3 linked regions of the Lepisosteus oculatus genome follow. The protein of the gene in region 3 interacts with the protein of the main gene of each other region in a biochemical or structural test. Links are inferred from orthologs where the notes say so. Each region holds a gene or a part of one and is shown on either strand. Other genes may lie near its edges.

Evidence for each region.
Region 1: the proteins of receptor tyrosine-protein kinase erbB-4 (region 3) and syk form a complex in vitro, tested with the Homo sapiens proteins (2 studies listed by BioGRID and IntAct, with this or other methods). The link is inferred for Lepisosteus oculatus from reciprocal best matches to the Homo sapiens genes ERBB4 and SYK.
Region 2: the proteins of receptor tyrosine-protein kinase erbB-4 (region 3) and ras GTPase-activating protein 1 form a complex in vitro, tested with the Homo sapiens proteins (2 studies listed by BioGRID and IntAct, with this or other methods). The link is inferred for Lepisosteus oculatus from reciprocal best matches to the Homo sapiens genes ERBB4 and RASA1.

The regions. Positions count from the first base shown.
Region 1 is NC_090698.1:49,714,271-49,721,530, reverse strand, and holds the start of syk (tyrosine-protein kinase SYK), read right to left. Parts: upstream 3,006-7,260; 5' UTR 2,692-3,005; intron 1-2,691. UniProt on the Homo sapiens protein: Non-receptor tyrosine kinase which mediates signal transduction downstream of a variety of transmembrane receptors including classical immunoreceptors like the B-cell receptor (BCR).
Region 2 is NC_090698.1:71,891,538-71,898,680, reverse strand, and holds the start of ras GTPase-activating protein 1, read right to left. Parts: upstream 3,006-7,143; 5' UTR 2,083-3,005; coding exon 1,586-2,082; intron 1-1,585. UniProt on the Homo sapiens protein: Inhibitory regulator of the Ras-cyclic AMP pathway. Stimulates the GTPase of normal but not oncogenic Ras p21; this stimulation may be further increased in the presence of NCK1.
Region 3 is NC_090707.1:8,562,946-8,569,978, reverse strand, and holds the start of receptor tyrosine-protein kinase erbB-4, read right to left. Parts: upstream 3,008-7,033; 5' UTR 2,727-3,007; coding exon 2,651-2,726; intron 1-2,650. UniProt on the Homo sapiens protein: Tyrosine-protein kinase that plays an essential role as cell surface receptor for neuregulins and EGF family members and regulates development of the heart, the central nervous system and the mammary gland, gene transcription, cell proliferation, differentiation, migration and apoptosis.

The DNA.
Region 1 (7,260 bases), on a different chromosome or scaffold from region 3:
CAAAATGATGTACAATCAGTACTAAAAAACACTTTCCATTGTATTTCCACAGTTTTTCTTTATCTGGAATAAATGTGATGCTTGAGAAGAAGTGCTGAAAGAAATAGCTTAACAAAACTTTATTTTGGGTTTTACTGCTGCACCTTCCTTTTTCTGTGAATACTATTTACTTCTCCCTACATTGCAGCTCAATGCTGTACTTTTAAATTGCAATAAAAGTACAATGTATGCTACTTTAATGATATATTTTTCTCATTAATTTCTTGAGGACAGTATTAACATCATAAGAATAAAAAAAATATTTCAATGTTTTCAGAATGCTGCCATTTAATTTGACATGCAAAATACAAGAGAACAGTGTTTATTTACGGTACCTTGCTCGTCCACCCTGTGGTTTTCACCTTAACTGGAAACAAAAACTCTAAAGCCTTTACATACAGGCATGCAAATTCATACAACTGTGTTCAGAAACCTAAAGTCAAGCTATAAACAGATCAGTCTAAGGAAGTCAGCTTTAGGCATGAAAAGTTTGCTTCCAGTTTCTTAATCATTAACAAAAGTGTTTTTATCCCCTTGCAATCAGCAGTGTGTGTCTATTATAATCGTGAGGTCCAGCAATTAATGTGTTAGGGTTAGTCCAATGGAAGCCATTTTTTAATTAAGCAAAAACACACAAATGACATGTTGTGAACCTGATTCTACAGCATGCATACAATTTCAGAATCATTCTTCCCTGATTACTTTTAAGAGACAAATACTTTGCTAGTTCTCACTGGTAACTCACATGAAAGCTATTTGGAAATAAAATCACATAAAATAAATGTGAAAATAAAATGGCAGCCCTTACATTGTTATTTAGGGGTTTTCTGATTATTAATTTACCCGTGGTTAGTTTAATTAGCTCAATGGTTAAACAGCAATTATTTAAAACTAGCAACAATTTATTTTCAAAGGCATGCTATATTTCATGTATGTAAATTCATACTGCTACTGTACACATGAATGGAAATAAAGACACAATGGTGAACTTATGGGAGTAACATCATAAAATGAGACAAAATGAATAAGAGCACTGTATTGACAATACTGTACTGTAGGTCTTGGACTTACTGCAGGAAACTCAAACTCTTAGATTAAAGATTCTCTGTTTTGCATGACAACATCACTACAACTATTAGATGCCAAATTTCTAGGGAGATAATTTAATTTAATACACGGAGCATTAAAACTTGCCTTTTGAATGTTTGGTTTAAAAATGTACAAAAATAAACTGAAAAATATTAATCACTAAAATCCTTCTGTTTATGTAGAGTTCCTGCACTGTATGAAATGTCATCATGGCAGTAGAATTCAGGATTTATATTATTTGTTAATTAACAGGAATTTAAATAGGACTAAATATCCCCTTTGTTACATTTTTCCATATATTTCTTTTCTTTCTGTATAATTATTAAAATACATTTTTTATTAATTTTATTGTACCTAGGCAGGACCTGTGCTAACCCAACTCCCCTCATGGGATATAACTCAACACTTGTTAATGTATTGTAAAAAAATAGTACTGTACTTGCAAACTTTAGTACAATTATATTTTTTCTTGATGTAAATTTCAAGGTTAAGCATACAGTACAGGTACTTCTGTCTGTAAACATATGAATCAAATAAAGCATTATCTTAAATCAATAAATCATACGAGCTAAGTGAACATAATGTTGTTCAACACTGCCATAACAGTGCCCTAAAGTGCATTTAAAAGTACATTTGAAAAAAAAAATAAAGTACTTTATATGCTTCATATATGTTTAAATATACTACCTTCCATGTTATTGCTAAGGACTAATATTAGTATTTCACAGTTTGTGTTAATCAGAAATGGGTGGGATGGTTTAGAAGAAGTGCTAAAAAGAAATGTTTGACTGCGAAAACATTATTTTCCACTTTCCAACTATTCTGCCTTCCTTTCTCTGTGAATACTAGTTCCCTTTCTCTGTATTACAGGACAAACATCCTAAAAATATTGTGTTCAAAAAACGCAAAAGCAACTCCAATGTGCAGCATTGGACTCCATTTCAATAATACATTTACACTACGTTCACTGTAATTTACAAGAAAGCTGACTATATACAGAATGCAACTTTAAATTAAATGTAAAAGATCAGTTACTTTAAAATGTGTTTAAAAGATATGAGCTTAACATATTAAAACTTGAGTTTACTTGACACACACAAAATTATCCTGTCTGAAAAAATAATATGTACTGTAGATAACCTAAATGTAATTTTAGGTTTAATAGTCCTGGTCATTTTTGTTAATTTAATAGAAAATAAAAAGAAAACGGTCACTGCTTCTGGCGCTTGCTTCGAAACATTAGAAATTAAAGAAGTCAAAAGAAAAATATATTTTACTATTAATAACGACGTACAAAGAGCCTCTACATATATATCATACAGTATGTATACAACACTATCATTAAATCATATCGAGATTCACTTGAGCTCTCACACAGTCAATTAAATAAAACAAATAGTGGAAAATTGCTCAGGTGCCTTTCATTTTTCTTTTGATCCAAAGTATTTCATTTACAGTGTGGCTAGCACTTTACTTTTTCATAAACTCTCTTTCAAAAAATAAAATCCCACAACATTAATTCATCCATACATTCAGTAGTCAATCAATAAGCAAAAACGTTACCTTTCACGTAGGTCCAAAACCTTTTCTAGCTGTCTCTGTGCTCGGAGAAAGAAGCAACCATATTCAACTGCTTGTGAAGTGAACAGGATGTGGTCTGGCTCTTCTTGGATATTTTGAAGTGATCACTCTGGAAGAATTTGTATCAGGAGGTGACATGAGTTTAGAAAATTGATCAACAGCAAATTGGAACTTTAACTTGACAATAAATTCTATATATATTTAACGCAATGTATTACTAATGTGTGTTACATTAAAGAGGTTACAAGACTTGAGTTTTTTGCAGAGGCCAGAGTACAATGTGGAAGTGTAATTTAGCTTCCCCTTTTTAACAGCTTGCAGCTACTTCCTTGACTTTTTTTTCTAGAATATGACTTCCCCTTTTGTCCAAAGTCTGTCTTGATTTAAAACATCAATATATGTATGTACTGTATGGTATGTAGATAGATGTATATGTGTCCATGTCGGAATGAATTTTTTTAAAAAATGTGGTTCAGGCATGCCTGTTCAATCATACAGAAAACAGGGCTTTAAAAGTATTGTAAAAAAGACAAACTACTATGCTGACAAACTCCTGTACAGTATGTGAGGATAATATTTGCAGTTTACTGTATGTACAGTATAGCAAATACCGTTATGCAATATAATACATTGAGTGAAGTAATATGATAGTTTGCTTAGACCTGGTAATGAAAATATTCTTACTGTATGATATTTTCTTACTGATAGGAAAATATATACAATATCTGGGTATCTTTGCATACATAATATCTACACTGTATGTTTGGGTTACAAACAACTACTATTACTGTAAGAAGTAATTCTTATTTACTACTACTGCAGAGTAAATAAATACAAGGCTTGTATTCAAACTATAAAGAAAGGCTTTAAGAGTTTCATCAATGCAATATAATGGGCACAGCAAAATTCACAATTTTGTAACTATTAACATTTTTCACTTTTCTTTTCATTTAAAAAAGTGTACATTTGAAAAATGAGTCATATGTAATATAAACTAATTTTTAAAAACTTTAACTTGACAATCAATCACTTGGTTATTGCATTCTAATACAATAGTATTAGAAATTTAGAAATTAACAACACAGGTTAGAAATTAACAGCATTGATATGGAATCAATCAATCAGACAGGCAGTCAGTCTGTGAATCTTTCAAATTGCAGTGAGCATAACAAATCTCTTGAAAAAAAGAGCGAAGAGACTTTGAACCAGTCAATTTAGTTTTTAGTAAAGATCAGAAAAGGTCTTGGTCTAAGCTGATGCTTGGAACCATATTTATAACATACAGTTGTACTATATAACATAAAAAAACAGAAATATGTGTGGAATCCATTTCATAATTAGAACGTCGTGGAAACATAAAGACATTTTTAATGAATTTATTTTAAACAGCCTTCTTTGACACTCAAAACTGACATCTAGTGGTTGTTCTTGGTTTATACAAACAGCACATCCCTCCTTCAATTTTCTAACAGCTTTATCCAATTCAAGAGTTGTAGAGGGTCCAGAGCCTATCCTGGTAAACAGCGGGCAAAGTAGGATGCAGGATACACCCTGGATGGGACACCAGTCCATTACAGGGTACACACAGACAGAAACACACACACTTACAGTATAACACAGCCCATTTTCCCAGAAACCAATGAATTTACCATTATATTTTTGGATTGTGGGAGGAAACCAGAGCAGCCAGAAGTAGCCCACATGAAGGGAGAACTTACTGTACAAACTCCATGCAGATAGCACCCTAGGTCTGTAAGTGAACTTGAGGCTCCAGTGTTGAAAGGCTGCAATGTTAACCACTGTAGCCACCATGCTTCCCACATAGACTACAATTATTTTTTAACACTATTTTTATTAATAGTGTATGATATAATTTTTCAAAGAGCTTGAAAGAGTACAATGTAAAATCTCACCTTTTCAGTTTATAAATAAATCTGTCCTTTATCTGTCCTTTAAGTTATGTGTTCAGCTCTTCCCATTTTTTCATTTTGGCGTATCTTTGGTCTGGATTAAATCAGAACTTCAGCCCACCTTCCAATGACAGAATTACAAACCCCTTACTCAATGGTGGGGTACAAAAGGAGGAGAAGGAGTAAGTATTCGTAAAACTCACAATATTACACTAGGTCTGTGTAGTTTCGTTGACAGGCAAGTTGAAGTTTTTATTTCATCCAGGTTTTACATATAAATTAACACGGAATTGCTTCAGGCTTGTGTCCAAACCACAGGTGAGAGAACAAGGACTACATAAAGCTCGTTTTAAAGATATGTGTTTTTTTAAACAAATGACCATGGTGTGGGAACTACCATTATGTGGTGTTGTTATTTTTCAAAATAACAAGCATGCACATGGAAGAGCTACCCGGTATCACTGGCAGTGTTATACTGAAATGTTTCTGTAAGAAGAGTTGGGCTGTAAGGCTCACTGCAAGGCTCCCGCAAGCTAGACCCTGGTCTAGAAAAATATTCAGACAGTAAGCTGGCTAAGCCTTGGTCCACATCTGTATCCTAGATTCAGATCTTAGCTGAAAAAAGTCCAGAAGAGCCAGTAACCATAAACCAGTCACATCTGATTGTATTTAAGACTTATGACAGCTAAACGCTAGGATATAACCCTGACTTTACAAGCAGAGAACTTAAACTAACGCAGACCAGCTCCTAACTTAAAGACAACAGAGGGACACCACTTTTCCATGAGGTACAATACATTAAGAAATGTGAGCAAAGTTCGACTCCTCTCCTTCCTCTCCTCATCATCCACCCCACTCCCCACCTTTTTCCTCCTCTTTCCCCCTTTCTATCCCACTGTCCTCATAGGACACCTCCACAGTTACTGACACTCACTGTGCCCCATGGGTTCATCAGTATTAGTCTCAGCTGGGCATGGCCTCCTCACTCATACATTTTGCCGACCCCCTACTCACTACATCCATTCAGTATAGTGTCGGCCCCCAACTTTAATTCCACCCCCAAGCATCTATCTAAAAATGGTGAAAAATATTTTTTAAGGTCATACTTTGCTCACTAAAATAAACATGTTAAATGAAAAACAGTTTTCTTCCAATCCCAAAAGAAACACTGATGTAGGACTCCCTTCTCCAGATTCCAGATGCCAGGATGTAGGTTGTCAGTTTTGATGACATCTGCTAAAAATCTGCTACACAAGCTAGTGAACATCAGTCCACTTCTGCAACCTGTTTGTTTTTCCCTGAGTCTAGTTGGAGTTGTTTCTTCATTGTTTCAGTAGCTTTGAAAAATTTGGAGCACCTTTGGCTAGGCCTTTTGGTATTCCACTTTCAGATTTAAAGACATGTCTGCCTATAACTACAATACAGTATGTCCATATACAGGTAAAGGCTAGATGATTTTGTAGCATTCTAAGTACCAACTTGCACTGATGTTTTTCCATTTATATTTGAGCCAATTAATCATTATTGTTCTGACCTGTAATAATGTATGCTTATGCTAGCAACTATTTTTAAATTTACTATTTTTAGTCAACCTCTCCAGAGTTATAATGTTCTTTGTACTGTTCATACTGAGACTGTAAATGGCTTAAGACTGCAGATGAAAGCATGGTGTTGTTCCAAAGTCCCAGCAGATGGCAGACTCTGCCTATCAGACTTCTCACGAAGCTCACTGTAAACTCATCGTGCTTTTCTTCTTCTAGTCTGTGTGTGTAAAAACTAGAACAAAGAACACTTTGAAATAAAGAGAGATTAAGGCAACATAATTACAACTGTTTCTTTCACTATTTAATTTTATGCTAAATCTTAAATTGTACTTGTATGTGCTATGTGGAAATTAGATCCAGTATATTTACATGTTGCCTTGCAACCAAAAGCATTTGCTTTTCTGTAAAATGAAAACATACTGTACTGTATCGCATGGTTAATCAAGCAACATAACTTTTCCTGTCAATAAACGTGAGTTTCAGCAAGAGCTAGCTGTCTCAAAACTTAAGAACATCCGATAAATTACAAATAAAAGTGGGCCATTAGGCCAGTCTTGCTCATTTGATTTTTCAGTAACAAAATGACACACAGCTATATCCTGATTGAAGCCTGAGAAGCAGCTTCAACCATCATACTGTAGCTTGCCAGTTTGTACTGTACTCCTTCAAGTTCCTCCTCTCTTCTTAGTTTTTAATGCACTTTGTTATGGTTTGCACTTGTGTTCTCTGACTCTTGTCCCATTTCCATAAAAAAGAAATTATTCACTCCAATACAAAGAAATGTACTAGTATAACATTTTAGTTAATGGAACATCTTCAGGTCAAGTGCAGGTCAGGACAATTATTCTATAGCCAGAAAGAGGATGAATGCTGTCAAAGCAGAATAGACTGCAGAGCTAGTAAGTTGCCTCTGTATTTTAATTAAACAGCTTTACTTTCCCATATGAAAAAGGATTTCTTTTTTAGAAACCTAAAAAAACAGAGTCTGGGGGCCTGTGACATTTGTGTTCATGAAACAAGGCTCACTGCTAACCAAAAAGTAGATAGAGAATATTGGAATAGCAAAATGCCAACATAGATTAAGAAAAAGGTTTGCT
Region 2 (7,143 bases), on a different chromosome or scaffold from region 3:
ATTTAAACATACAAACCAGACTCGTATTAATTCAGTTTCAGACCGGAGGCATTTAGGTTAGTAAGGTAAAGCCAAGGAAGGACGTTTTTTGGCTACCAGTAAAGTCTGTGCACTGCAACACCAGGACAAGGGCTGACATTTTTCCAAAGAATTCTATGCCACAAATAACATTCAAATTTCTTGAAGTTGTGCATTTCCAGGATCATGTTAATGCTTGTTTTATATAAACCTACTGGAAAATACTGATTTAACTAATGCTGGCCATTTTATAAAAGTACAATACCTGAACGTGGGGATTTTTGCATCCTGGCTGTTGTGTGGCTTCCATGCACCCCTGAGCAAGACACATTAGTAAGGGTGCGAATCTGTGCTCCAGAACCTTTTCCTTAACAAGGCCTCATCCTCGTGTCTGAGCACGTCTAAATATTTTCATTCCCCTATCGCTTGTGTATATGGCACTAAAGTAAATTCATTTTTCTTTAAATCTGGCGTAAACGTGGCACTAGAGCTAAACGATATCACACCTTGCAGTTGACAACACTTCCTTTGCAGTAGTTCAGTGAGAGGGAACAGCAGCCTTTACTCGTGTGTAACTTGACAGAGCCGAAGCTCACTGCTGTTAACAGGTGGTTAGTGCCCGCACGTGAAAACCTGAAAGCATTTTTTTTTCTCGCCTTCCAATCGTGAGTCTCATGGTTTGCAGCTCTCAAAACCCACACGACTGTAAATTCACTTTTCAATTTTGAACCACTTTCTTTCTCTCCTTACCTGCAACTTCTTGTTCATTTTAATATGCGATCAAGGTATATACCCATCTGTATGCACACATACATATCCATCACCAAAACCTAAGGAACCAGATAAACCGTTCTGTGGCACTATACAGAGCTGCAGGCGTTGTGGGTGTTCACCAAAATTGGCTCAGGATTAACTCCACAGCAAATGAAAACTACAAGAGCGTTTAATTTAGTCCTACTGAATCGAGTTACTTTTTTTTTTAAGCACAATCTCTCTCTCTCTCCCTGCTCAATTAACCAGCTCACGACATTTCCTGTCCCTCGGAATGGACCAGACCCTTGCAGAGCGAGCATACTGTGTTAAGGCAAGAAACTCTCGTCCTGGCGATGAAGTTTTCTTTAGTCTGAGGTAACTGCACTGTAAATGGACAGTACAACAGGAAAGCGTCGCTCTGCAGGTGTCTCAGTGTTGCGTCTGAAGACAGGCCGATTCTTCAAACTCCAATGTTTTAGACAGTAAAAAAGGCCCTGTTCTACCGAGGTGAAAGGATTTGTATCGGCTGTCTGCGACAGGGCGCTGATTCAGCAGCAAGGCTTAGAAAGTTTTTATGGAGAGGTTGTTTGCATCCGGCGCTGCAGCGCTACTCCCTGCAGTTTGAAGCGCACATCAAACCGCTGGCTGTCAACAAGTTGTACCATCAAACTTCACAGCTAAGCGCGGCTCGGATCTCTCCCGAGAGCCCTCTCGTTAACACACAACCGACTTCTTTTCTCTCCCCCGTTTGTTGTGGTGGTGGTGGTGGTTGTTCAAATCATCTTACTTTTTCAATAAATCCCCCCTAACTTACTGGTTCGTAGGCGGCGCGGTCAGCGGGAAGGCGACCTCCTCTTCCTCGTACTCCGCGCCGTCCAGCATGTCGTTTTCGTCCACCGTCCCCAGACCCCCGCAGACGGGGGGCGGCGGAGGAGGGGGCGGCAGAGGGGGGAAGGCGGCGGCGGGCCCGTCCGGACCCCCCGACGTCGGCGACATCCGGATGCCCTGCGCCTCGGGGGTGGGGGGACCCGCCGCCCCGGCCCCCGCGGACGAGCTGCCCCCAGACGGCGAGGGCTGCCCGGCACCGGTGCCACTCCCAGCGCCGGCCACCGGGCACAGGACGACCTCCGAGGGGCCGTCGGGCGGGCGGTGGTGGAGGAGGGCCGGGGCTGCTCCTGGGGCCGACTCACTCACCCGCAATCTCGGCTGGGCAAAGAAAGCAAAGTGGGCCTCCGGGCCTCCGGCGGCAGAAACCCCGGTCCCGGCCGAAACCGAACCTGCCTCCTCGCTTCCGACCTCCGCCGCCATCATGATTTTCTTATAGATTTTTTTTTTCTTCGGGTCCTTCGTTTGTTGTTTCTCGTTGTGTGTGTATATATATATAAAATATGAGCATGCAAAAGAGAGGAGAAAAAGGAAGGAAGGGAGGGAGAGGGGGAATAAAAGGGGTGGAAAAGGGATCCTTCCCCCCAGTCTGTCTTGGGACTCTTGGTTTTTTGTCTCTCTCTCTTGCTCTCTGAACAAACAAAAAAAAAAACAACAAAAAGCTCAGCTCCAAAACTTTCAACTTGGAAGAACTACACCACCTCGCTGGTGCTCCGCCGCCACAGTCCTGCTGAATGCACACGCTCGACAAACCTCCCCCCCCACACACACACACACCCCCCTCCAAAACAAAAACAAAACAACCGCGGACGGCTGGGCTCCAAAAATGAGTTTTTAAGTCTCCATCCTCGTCGCCGGGCTGGGGAAAAGTTGAAGAAAGTGTGGCACCGAGCGAGCAGGGTGCGAGGCAGAGACACGGCGTCTCCCCTCTCCGGGGCAGCAGGTCCACTTGTCGGGAGCGTGTGGCTTATTGTCAGTCTCTGCCTCCCAGGCTTCTGTCTTTCTTTCTTTTTTGTCTCTCTCCCTCTCTCTTCTTCTGCTTTGCTTGTTTCAGCGGCGATTTCCAGCCTGCAGTTGTGAACACCTCTCCTCTCTCTCTCTCTCTCGCCCCCTGGCCGTTGCAATGCCCGTTTCCTCCGCTCGCTTCTGTTTTAGATTGGCCCCTCGCCGTAGCCCAGCCGGATGTGAAAAAATTGTTAGATTGTTTCTTGCGCAAGTTGGTGTTTTTTTTTTTTGTTCGTTGCGCTGCCGAGAGCTGTGGGTTGTTGTTTTTTTTCCCCCTCCCCTGCGCTGCCGAGAGAGCTATAGCTCTTACCTCTCTCTCCCGTACTGGAAGCGTGTTGACGCTCAGGCTCAGACCCGGCCAAGCGAGCGCCGAGCGGCTCGACCGCGCCTTCGATTCGCCCGGCTTCTGAGAAAATCACTGCCTGAGAAGTGGGGCAATGGAATGGATTTCTCTTATTTAAAAAAAACAAACAAACAACAACAACTCTTTTTTTACCATTATACAGAAAAACAACAACGTAAACTGGGGCAGAAGAGGAACGTTTAACTTATTTTTTTCCCTGTACAGTAACATTTTGGACAACCCCCTTCAATCTCTGTGGACAACCTACTACTACTACTGCCAGAATAAAATAACTGAATCTTTTCAACGCTGAACAGAGAAGACTAGGAGGGGTGTTCAGAACAGTGTTCAAAACCCCCCCGAAGCACTGACAGAGAGATAAACCTGACTTCTTCAGGCCTGAAAGTGAAAAATAAACCAGCAGGCATAAGTGGGATCTATGGATGAGTGCATTTAAAGCTTAGAACAGGAGGCTCTTCTCTACACAGAGGACTGCAGGAGTATGGAACAGTACGTGTAGCTGAAGCTAGAGTCCTGGCTTCTTTCAAGGAACAGCTGAATCAATGAAAACAGCTAGGATCAATTAGCTACTGATAATGCACATTAGCTGGTCTAATGACCTGATTATTTCTAAGCTTTCTTGTGTTTTATTCACCAGTGTATACAGTAAGTACACAACACATTGTAGAGCCATCTGCCAGGACAGTGTCCAAGGAGCTAGGAAAGGGAGCTCAGGATATTGGGACTGGCTCTGTGGGAATGATGGGAAGCCTCCATCGACAGTACACGGCTGTGTAGCATTTCTTTGTCTGAGCTGTTCCTTTGTTGCTCCCTTCTGTCACACTGTCACCCTGCCTGCCTTGGCTGCTTCAATATCCGTGGGGTCCAGCCTCCCATGCGTGAGTCTGAGTGCTCCCTGTGTTGGTGATTCTGAGTATTTCAGGCTTAAATGAGGGGCGTGGCTCAATAATGAGCCCGGTTCTGCCCCTGGGAGTCCCTTCCTGGCGCTAGAAACTTGCATCTGTTTAAAAGCACTGCAGTATGTACATTAATATGCTGCGGCGTTTATACTTGCCTCTTTACTCATTCTTACAATGACTTTCATTTGTACGCCTTACACTCATATTCCTACCCTCTCCCTCAACTCCCTGCACAACTAGAAACACAGGCAAATTACCGGGTTTCTTCCCATTTTCCTTCTAGTGTGGAATCACCACTACTTGTCAAATCCAAAACAGGGTCACGGGGAGCCTGGAGTGTCAGAGCCGACATTGGCAAGCTACAGGCATGAGATGAGGTACCCCCTGGATGGGACACACACTCACACCAGGGCTTATTTTCCCAGAAGCCAATTAACCTACCAGTTGGTCTTTTTAACCATGGGAGGAAAGCCATGCAAACAGTAGGAGAACATAGAAGCTCCACGCAGATAGCATCCCAGGAACTGAAAACAGGGCCCCAGTTCTGTGAGGCAGTGATGCTAACCACTGTGCCACTGTGCTGCCCTTGCAACAGTTTTGTAGTTCTGAATCTAATACTTTAATACAATTGTTAATTTAATCTCAATATAAGGAAGAAAAATCTATGTTCTGATTGTTTCAGTTGCTCAGGGAGTTACTCAGAACATTTGCCTTTTGCAGGTGTTCCCTGATGTGACAGTCACCCTAATACAACCACCACGCCAGCATACATAGTGTAACGCTTATGGCCGACAAGCACTGTGTGTAAGAGCCGGCGTACCAGAGCGGGTGACGTCACCGCCCTTCCCTGTGATAGCAGGACCACAGCTACTGGGCTGTGGAGAGATCTCTCATTAGCTCACGGGGCTAGGTCGCTGCAGAGAGATGCGGAAGTCCCGGGTTCGAGCCTCCAGTCGGGATGGGGCCGACCAGATGCGGCAAGGGAAGGGCGGTGACGTCACCTGCTCTGGTACGCCGGCTCTTACACACAGTGTTACAATATCATCCTACAACTCACAGCTGGCAGCCCACTGGAGCTCAGCAGGTGTGAGCCTGGTCAGTACCTGGATGGGAGACCTCCTGGGAAAAACTAAAAAGGTGTTAGTGGGGCCAGCAGGTGACACTCACCCTGCGGTCCATGTGGGTCCTCATGCCCCAGTAATATAATAATAATAATAAACTTTATTTTATATAGCGCCTTTAAAGGTGGCTTCTCAAAGCGCTTTACAGGATGACAATAACAATAAATAAGAAGACTACAACAATAAATAAGAAAATTTCACAAGACAGGACACAATTATGATTGCAACAATACAACAGTAACAATAGAGGAGACCGTAGAAGATGGTATTAAGAAGAGCAGAGGGGTGAAGAATGGAACCAGTTAAGTAAAGGCTTTTCTGAAAAGGAGGGTTTTGAGTCTGGATTTGAAGGAGTTTAGAGAAGGTGACTCTCTAATATCCTTGGGCAAAGAGTTCCAGAGCTTGGGGGCATAGCAGGAGAAGGCCCTGTCGCCCATACAATGTAGACGGGCTTGGGGGACAGTAAGGAGGGCAGAATTTGAAGAGCGGAGGTTGCGAGGTGGGGAGTAGGGCGATAAAAGTTCAGACAGGTATTGAGGTGCCAGGCCATGTAAAGCCTTGTAGGTGAGCATGAGGATTTTAAAGTCTACACGGAATTTGACCGGAAGCCAGTGCAAGGACTCCAGGATAGGAGTAATGTGAACACTTGCACTAGACCTGGTCAGGATTCTGGCTGCTGAATTTTGGACATACTGCAGCTTGTTCAGAGTAGATTTAGATACCCCAGGGAGCAGAGCATTGCAGTAGTCAATTCGAGAGAATACAAATATGTTGATTAGCTTTTCAGCCACAGTTAATGATAGCATAGGGCGTAGTCTTGCGATATTTCTAAGGTGAAAAAAAGATGTTTTGACAGTATGCTGTACATGTGGGTCGAATGTTAAGCCAGAATCGAATATAACCCCAAGGTTTTTCAATTTTGATTGGAGCTCAAGTACAGAGCCATCTACAGACAGGGTTACAGGACTGGCTTTACGAAGTTGATGGGGGGTACCAATAAGCATGACTTCAGTCTTGTCACAGTTAAGATGAAGGAAGTTTTGAGTCATCCAAATTTTTATGTCAGAGATGCAATTAGATAGAATAGAGACAGCCACATCAGTGTCGGGTTTGGTATGGATGTATATTTGAGTATCGTCAGCGTAAAATAGTGATGGGGACACAATACTGTGCCGGATGAGACATAAAACCAAAGTCCTGACTCTCTGTGGTCATTAACAATCCCAGGGTGTCTCTCAAAAAGAGTAGGGCTGTTACGCCAGTGTCCTGGCAAAATTTCCCATTGGCCCTTACCAATCATGGCCTCCTAATAATCCTCATCTAAGAATTGGCTTCATTACTCTGTTCTCCTCCCCACTAATAGCTGATGTGTGGTAAGTGTACTGGCGCACTATAGCTGCCGTTGCATGATCCAGGTGGGGGCTGCACTTTTGGACTGGTAGAAGGGAATCCCCATTACCTGTAAAGCGCTTTGAGTGGAGTGTCCAGAAAAGTACCACATAAGCGTAAGGAATTACTATTATAATTATTACATACACACAGGCTGCCAGACCTTATAACCGCTGAATGAGGGTGAGTTTGACAACAGAGTGAAGATTTCAGCCATCTTAATGGGGTGGAGCCGTGGCACTGTGGCTAAGAATCTGCGTCTGTGGCTGGAAGGTTGCCAGAGGAATCCTACTCCGTTGGGCCCCTGAGCAAGGCCCTTAACCCCAGCTGCTCCAGGGGCCCTGTATAAATGACAGACCCTGTGCTCTGACCCCAAGATTCTTTTCCTATCTGTGTGTCTCATGGAGAGCAAGCTGGGGTATGCAAAAATACAAATTCCTAATGCAAGAAATTGTATATGGCTAATAAAGTGATCTTATCTTAAACAGAATGGAAAGAGGTGATACTATTCTGCTGAGGGTTTTGACAAAATGGCTAGAATATCGGCAGCTGTGATTGCTAACAGGCACTGGTAGAGAAAAGGAGCAGTGGAGAGGAAGCCCACACTAGGACTGAGAACTTGGCTGCTGTGAATATCCTGTTCCATGGGCTGAGTTGCTGACTCATCGTTTTAGGTTGTGATTGGTTGTGATTGGCCTCTGTGTTCTCA
Region 3 (7,033 bases):
GAGTAACGAGAGATGCTAAGCAATGCAGGCATTCGGTGTGTAGGGCTTAATAAGTTAAGAGTAAACATTTGAACCGAATGCGGTGTGTGATGGGGAGCCAGCGAAGACGTGCCAGACCTGGGGTGATGTGCCTTGAACGCATTAAATCAACGTAAGGAAAGACCCAGACGTCTGAGTCTATGGATTTTTCCTGTCACTACTAAAACAGTACCCATCATAATGTAATCATAAAGTTAGAAGCAATTCAGGGAATCCCGAAGATTATCTGTGTTTCAGTTTATGAACTGAACATTAATAAAGAAGACGAAAGGGCACTTGTAAATGTGTTACCCGTCATCTCATGTCCTTTATGACAGTGAAGTCCTGTTTAGTCCAGGGACAGTCACAACACCGAAAGAGCCTGCTGCGGACTTGGGAGAGATTTCTAATGAACCACGTACCAAGGCTCCAATTGTACACGTGCAGAATATGTCCTTGGCTAAAAGTATAGTATCACTATTATCATTAACAACGTTTGTAACCCATTTCTAGAGTTCAGTACGCTTTAAAAGGACGTTCGCTTAATGTGAGGATTTGTTTTTCGTGAGGGGGTGAAACAGCAGAACTGCCATTTAATTAAAAGGAGAACGCCTCGCCTACTTTTCATTAAACAATTCTTGAGACAACGGAACGCTAACTCGTAATATTGAACGTACAGTAAACGGATGCAAAATCTCACTGAAGTATTGAAGAACTCCTTTCTAGAAGTTCTCCGAGGAATGTTTTGAATACAGATATACAGTACACCTTTGCATAATAATGTAGATAGATGAGTATAAGGGAGAATTATGAACAGGTATATGCCACTGTCTGAGAAGTGAGTAAGACGCACTTTTCGCTAGAACCTGAAACTTCTCCACTTTCTGACCCACGCAAGATTTCCACACCTTGCAGTTACACACATTCGCGAATAACCCTCCGGCGCACGATCTCAAGGGAAACACACACCTATGACTCTCAGCGAGGCTCGGCTGCCCTTTAGCCTGAATCCTATCAGCTGCGAAACATACAGTATAAGACAAGAGACGCCACAGGCTGCAGAGTTCAGATTGTACACAGCGCGAAAGGACTGCGAGTCTCCGGATCATACCACCACCGTGTGGAGATGCGGTTGTTTCTCCCAAGCAATCAAAACTATATCTCAACTTGTTTAAACAGCACAGCCCGATCTCTTGCAGCGTAATAATGCCCGGTCCTCCAATAGACCAAGCTAACAGTCAGCCAAATTCTGTTTCATATGGCACAGACGGTGCATTTTATTGTGCCTACAGAGACTACAGTAAAGAAAATACAGAACAAGGTATCAAAACCCTTTGTGATCCCAAACGTTTGGAGACGCGTAAGATACTATATGTCACCACTCAGGTGCAAAACCATTAAATGAGTAATTAGTAATGAGTGCTAATTAGTCGATTACTTGCTAATTTATTTAAAAAAATGTACAGTAGTTATTACTCGCATGTTACAGGTCCTGTGTGGGTACTTCGAATGTTTCCCAATCTGTTCATTATGTTATGAACAGACTGCCACATTACTTCCGAAATTTAGTTTATTTACTTCTCATAAACACCATTGAACACCCAAAGAACGAAGAAGTTTTTGTTGTGCTCTGTAAATAATGTTTCAGATGCGCAAGTCGAGGCTCGGTGTCTTTGAACGGGAACTATAGCTTCGTCAATCGAAACGCGAGACAGCTATGAGCTAATAATTATTAATAATAATAACTGGCGTTAACGACTAATTAGATGTTCTTTATACATGTTTACGTTTCATTACGCAGATTAACCATATGACAACGAACAACATCTGAAGATGCCATACAATGTGAAGAATATCTAAATTCTAGTAAAACACCAAACGGCGTTAAGGATGCTGATAGTAGTCCGCAGATATTTAAATCGTCAACACCGCATCGATTATTAAAATCGCGTATTTATAGCACCTCCATTCGTCCTTCTTAAATTGCTGGCATTTTTTAAATCACTGACGACGGGAAAGGCGGTAGGTCAGGTGCAATCGCTCAAGAAGGCAGCGGGAAGAAACACAAACGAACTGGTTAAGCCTCTTTTTGCTCAAGGGACGAAAAAACACGGTGGGAAAACGTGAGTGAGTGGACAATAGTTCTCCGGTGTGTCCGGGACACGTGCGGCGTGAACTCCATGTCCAATTCTCTAAAAAACCAAAAATCCTGATTCTCTTGAGTCTCCGAGACGCACTTTAACATACCCCTAATAATCAAGGCGCGATAGCACAACCCCGCAGTCTCTCAAAAACAGGTACAGCATAAACAGTATCAAGATCGACATCGTAGTGAAAGAGGAGTGTCGGAGCCGAAAGAGCCTTAAAAACAACACATTCCTGCTCTCATTTACTGACTGTCATTCCGTTCATAACTTGTGGTCCACAATGTACAATATCACACATTTGGCGATTGTGAGAAATAGACTGTGACCAGCGTTACCAGCAACTGTAGAGTCCACACGGCGCAGAAACTACTAGCCCGACTAGTGAGAAACAACAGTACCTCACAGCCCAATAACAACACACGCTGGAGCATGACATTTAACAATACACCTTGCGCACGATACGAGAACAAATATATCCTACCCACCTGACTGCGATGAGCTGATCCTGACGATCACAAAACTGAACAGCAAGCCGAAGCAGTACAGAGTGGTTGGCTTCATTTTTTTGGGGGGTAGCAGTTACTCCTTAAATTCACATGTCCAGCAACATATCCCGTTTATTTATTTATTTTTTAATGGACAAAAGAAATCTTGAGCTGATGACAGGGTTTCGATGCACGGTTTGAAACGTAAATATGTCTCCTCCAGGTGTGTCTTAGTCCTGTTTGTGCCTTGAAAAGATTTGCCGAAGTTCGCACAGTAGTAATGTACTTTCCACAGCGTGGTATACAGTAGCTTGCCCTGATTGCAGTGCTAAGCTCATGCCATTACTCTCTGCAGAGTTCAGCACACAGCGTCCGCTCGAAAGCTGGAGACACGCCCCCCTGAGGGAGTTTCCCCGCCCATCGCCCGGTGCATTGGCTCCAAAGGCGGCCGGTACAATTGGTCCCCGCCTTTAACCACGCCTTCCTGCGCTCCCATTGGGTCTTCAGGCCTTCCCAAAAATTGCTGTTTTATTCAGCGCAAACACCTGTCTCAAAGGCAGAACCGAGTCAGGTGAACGCGCAACTGTCGGCGCGATTTAATGTGGTATTTTCTTGGGTTCTCTGGCGTCAACCTGGTAGTGTTTTCTAATAATACTATTATCAGAGATAAAATTTTGTTTCCCAGACTTGGAATAATCGGAACGTAGCATTTAAGAAGCGCATTATTTGACCTTTAAAAAACTTTCTGATAAATACAGTAATAGATTAAACAAAAAAACGTTGTCTTATCACGGAAGAAGGACGATTTCAAAGAACACCTTTATGGGTTAAGATATCATAAGCCATACTAAAGTAAGAGTCCTACGTGTAACAGTTATTAGAAATTGATTGCAAAAGTGAAACAACGAGCACGGTGGACTATTTAGAACAAATTTAAATTAAACTATTTATACTGACGGCTGTAATCAAGCCAAACGCAATTTTCCATAATAGTTCGTATATGACACTAAGTACACAGGTGGATTTTTAAACCCACTTACGATTCTTTTATATTACTTATAATTCTTTACAAAAGTGCTTCTTTTGTACTTCTCTTATATTCCTACAAGGCAAGTCCTGCTGATTTCGCATTTATTATGCACGGTGTATCTGCGTGTGTACAGGAAGTCCAATTGGTGTCACTCTCCAATTGTTTTTGTGTTGTGTCCTTTGTTGGTAAGTTGTTCAGACCACTAGTAAGTGATTCCAGGTTCCTCTCTTCAGAAACATGAAAAAGATTTAGTGGAAGAAACCACAAAAGATAAGCCACTGGCATTAGGCTCACTTGTGTCCTTAAAATCCCAGAAACTTGTCTTCCCAATAATTCTCACCATCACCTGCCATTCAGTCCCTGCCAGGGGGATACACACAGCTTTGAATCACAATATGCTGGAACATCTGGCCCAAACTCTGCCTTTTGGCTGGCCTAACCCTCTGCAGTATCATGAGTGTTAACATCCACGATAATCCTAAAATGACTTACAGAAGACATTCAGCATGAGAAGACAGTTTGTTTGCATTTCAGAAAATTTAGCACAAGCAGTTGCATGTTTCTGCTGCATATGCATAAATCATGCTCAGAAACATATCGTTAGATACATGTAATAAATACAGAGCATACAGTATGTAGCAGATGAACTTTTATTATAAAGATTCCAAAGAAGAAGGTAAATTAAGTCTCTTTCTTTTTACACTAGTTGCATTTCTTAGCATTCTTAAAAATCTCATTTGTGTTGAAATCAAAATATTAGTAAAACATCTAAAAAACAACTCTTTTCAGATGTTAGAAGGTACTGTAAGTAAGGCTGAACCTGGTCAGTATTCAGCTGGGGGACCTGTAACTGTTGTTCATGAAAGGCAAAATAAATATGTAAAATACCAATACGAGATTTTAAATAAACTTTTAACCTTCTAGTTTCAATTGCTGCAAGTGTGTGTTTTTGTGTGTGGAACATTAGGTGGTGTTCTTCTGTTTGGATTCGAATGTCCAATTCAAATTCTGGTCCCCAGAAATGTAAACCAGGGACATTGTGCTGTAGGAGATGCTGTCCCTTGGATGAGATGTTCAGCTGAGTGTCTGGCTATGTGGTCAGCAGAGTTCCCACTACAGTGCTGTGGCACTCCCAGTGTCCTGCTTGGTGAGGGCTACACTTCGCTTGTGGATGAACTTCACATGGGGTCTGTGATGAAGGTGATGATGATATGATGATTGAGTGCAGTGTCTGGAAAGGCACTATATAAATCTAAGGATTACTATTATTCTGGCAAGCAACTGGCACAAAGCAGCATACACCCTAGACTATCACAGGGCACAAAGACATAGACTCTCAAAAGATGATGATGATGATGATTATAATATTGTGGAATTTGTGAGATCCCTAGATCAGATGCTACCTACCTCCTCTCATTTGCAGTCTTTCTTGTATTCGTATCTTCTTATTCTTGGAATTATAATTAAAAAAAACAACCTCAGCTTCAGGGAGGAAATAACATTATCCATCATTGTCTAAGTTTGTGTTTCGCACTATGACTGGAATTGCCTTTAAACAAAAATAAAAGATTTTGTACCTTAAAGAACAATGTGCTGTGTGGACAGTCACGGTGCAGTACTTTACACCGCGAGAGTGAACAGTGAGACTTGACTTGAGTTATCATTTCAATTTAGCAACATTTGTGCTTCAGCCAGGCTAGTGCTGGCTGGAAAATACTTACTAATCACTTGGGCACAGATGTTAATGTTTTTTTTTTGTTTTGTTTGTGTAGTTAGATTATTTGCTCTAACACCAGAAAATATTATAGATTTGCATGCAAGGGTTCCTGCCGACTGTTCTGAGGGTGGTAACTCATATTTGAACTAATGTTTTGTTCAGCGCTGGAATGTGGGTCTACTATTTATAATATAGATAATTTAGTTTTCTTTAGTTTTCAGTTCGGTTTTTAATTAAACAGTTTTGTGTTTAAAATAAGAGAGCATTGTTCTGTTATCCCGTGCTTTTCAAACCCACTGCCGTCTGCTGGTGTACTTTCAACGTGTAATTATTTTAATTATATTTATTATTTAGAAAGGAGGAGGAAGAGGTTACACATTGAAGGGTAAAATTACTCTCATCAAAGTGACCCACTGGCCTGGCAGCCAAAAGAGGTAGATTTTTTTAGGGTCCTGTCTGACATTCGAAGGCCATGTGTGCGTGTACTTGTGTGTCAAATGAAACGCCCTCCGCAGCTATTAAAACTTGCAGTCAGATCGCGTTGTTGTAATGCCGTCCCTAATCCAGACGGGGGAGCCTTTGAGTACCTCTGGGGTCAAGAAAAGAGTAAAGGACGATGCAGATTTCATACCGTGTTGAAAACTATGATGATTCGGATACTGGCCTTTTATTATTAAGACACATTAAATGTTTAATTTAATGTGCTTTTAATAATGTAACGTGTGGGTGATTATCAAAATATCAAAGGAAGAAGTCATATTTAATAGGGTTTTAGTAAGTGCACCCCACGTGTCCAGACTTGATTAACGTAATAACAAATTTAATTTTAGCGCAATAGCTTTTTAATAGAGTGCTGCTTAGACCGTACCTCTCTCAAACCGTCAATTAAACATTGTATATTTTCAGAATACAAAAATTAACTACACAGAATTACTGTAGTTTATAAGCCAGCTCTGTGAAGGTGGATGTTTATAATTTCAGCGGGAGAGTCAGAGCCTGTTTAATGGATGAGCGTGTAGCGAAGCAGAAGCATTAATAACAGGAAACCTTGAGAATCTCTGGCTATCATAATATATTCAGAAACACAATGCAAATGATAAAACTGCTTTATTACATTTTGCATAACTCACTCCTATGAATCCCCTGCACTCTGGCTCGATCTGCCACAGGAAACGTGCACATTTTCAGGCACATAATAGGAAAAAGCATCTCATACTGTAGGAGTTATGAAAAGCTTTACCCCAGGATGAATACCCAGAGTTCCCCCGGGTGACCGACCCTACAAAAATCCATATTTTCTGATGCACATCAAGACACCCATCCATCCCATAAAGAATCGCAGCATGGGCTAAAAATGTATTTTAATTTCTAAAACTATATTTCCTTAAAGGTAAAACGAGTGACCTAACAGCTCTTTCAAGGGGCAAAGGACAAATAAAATGGACAGGGGGGTTTTGGAAGAAGGCATTTAGAAATAAGGGAAATCAGTTACACCTCATCTGTGAGGATGCAGAAAGAGTTTAAACCACCCCTTCGATCCCAGGAAGAAATCCCTTCAGGTTGTGCAAGATTGACATGCTTCAGAAACACAGTCCACCTGTGCAGGTGCCTGTACAGCCCTAGAGCTGGGCACAGG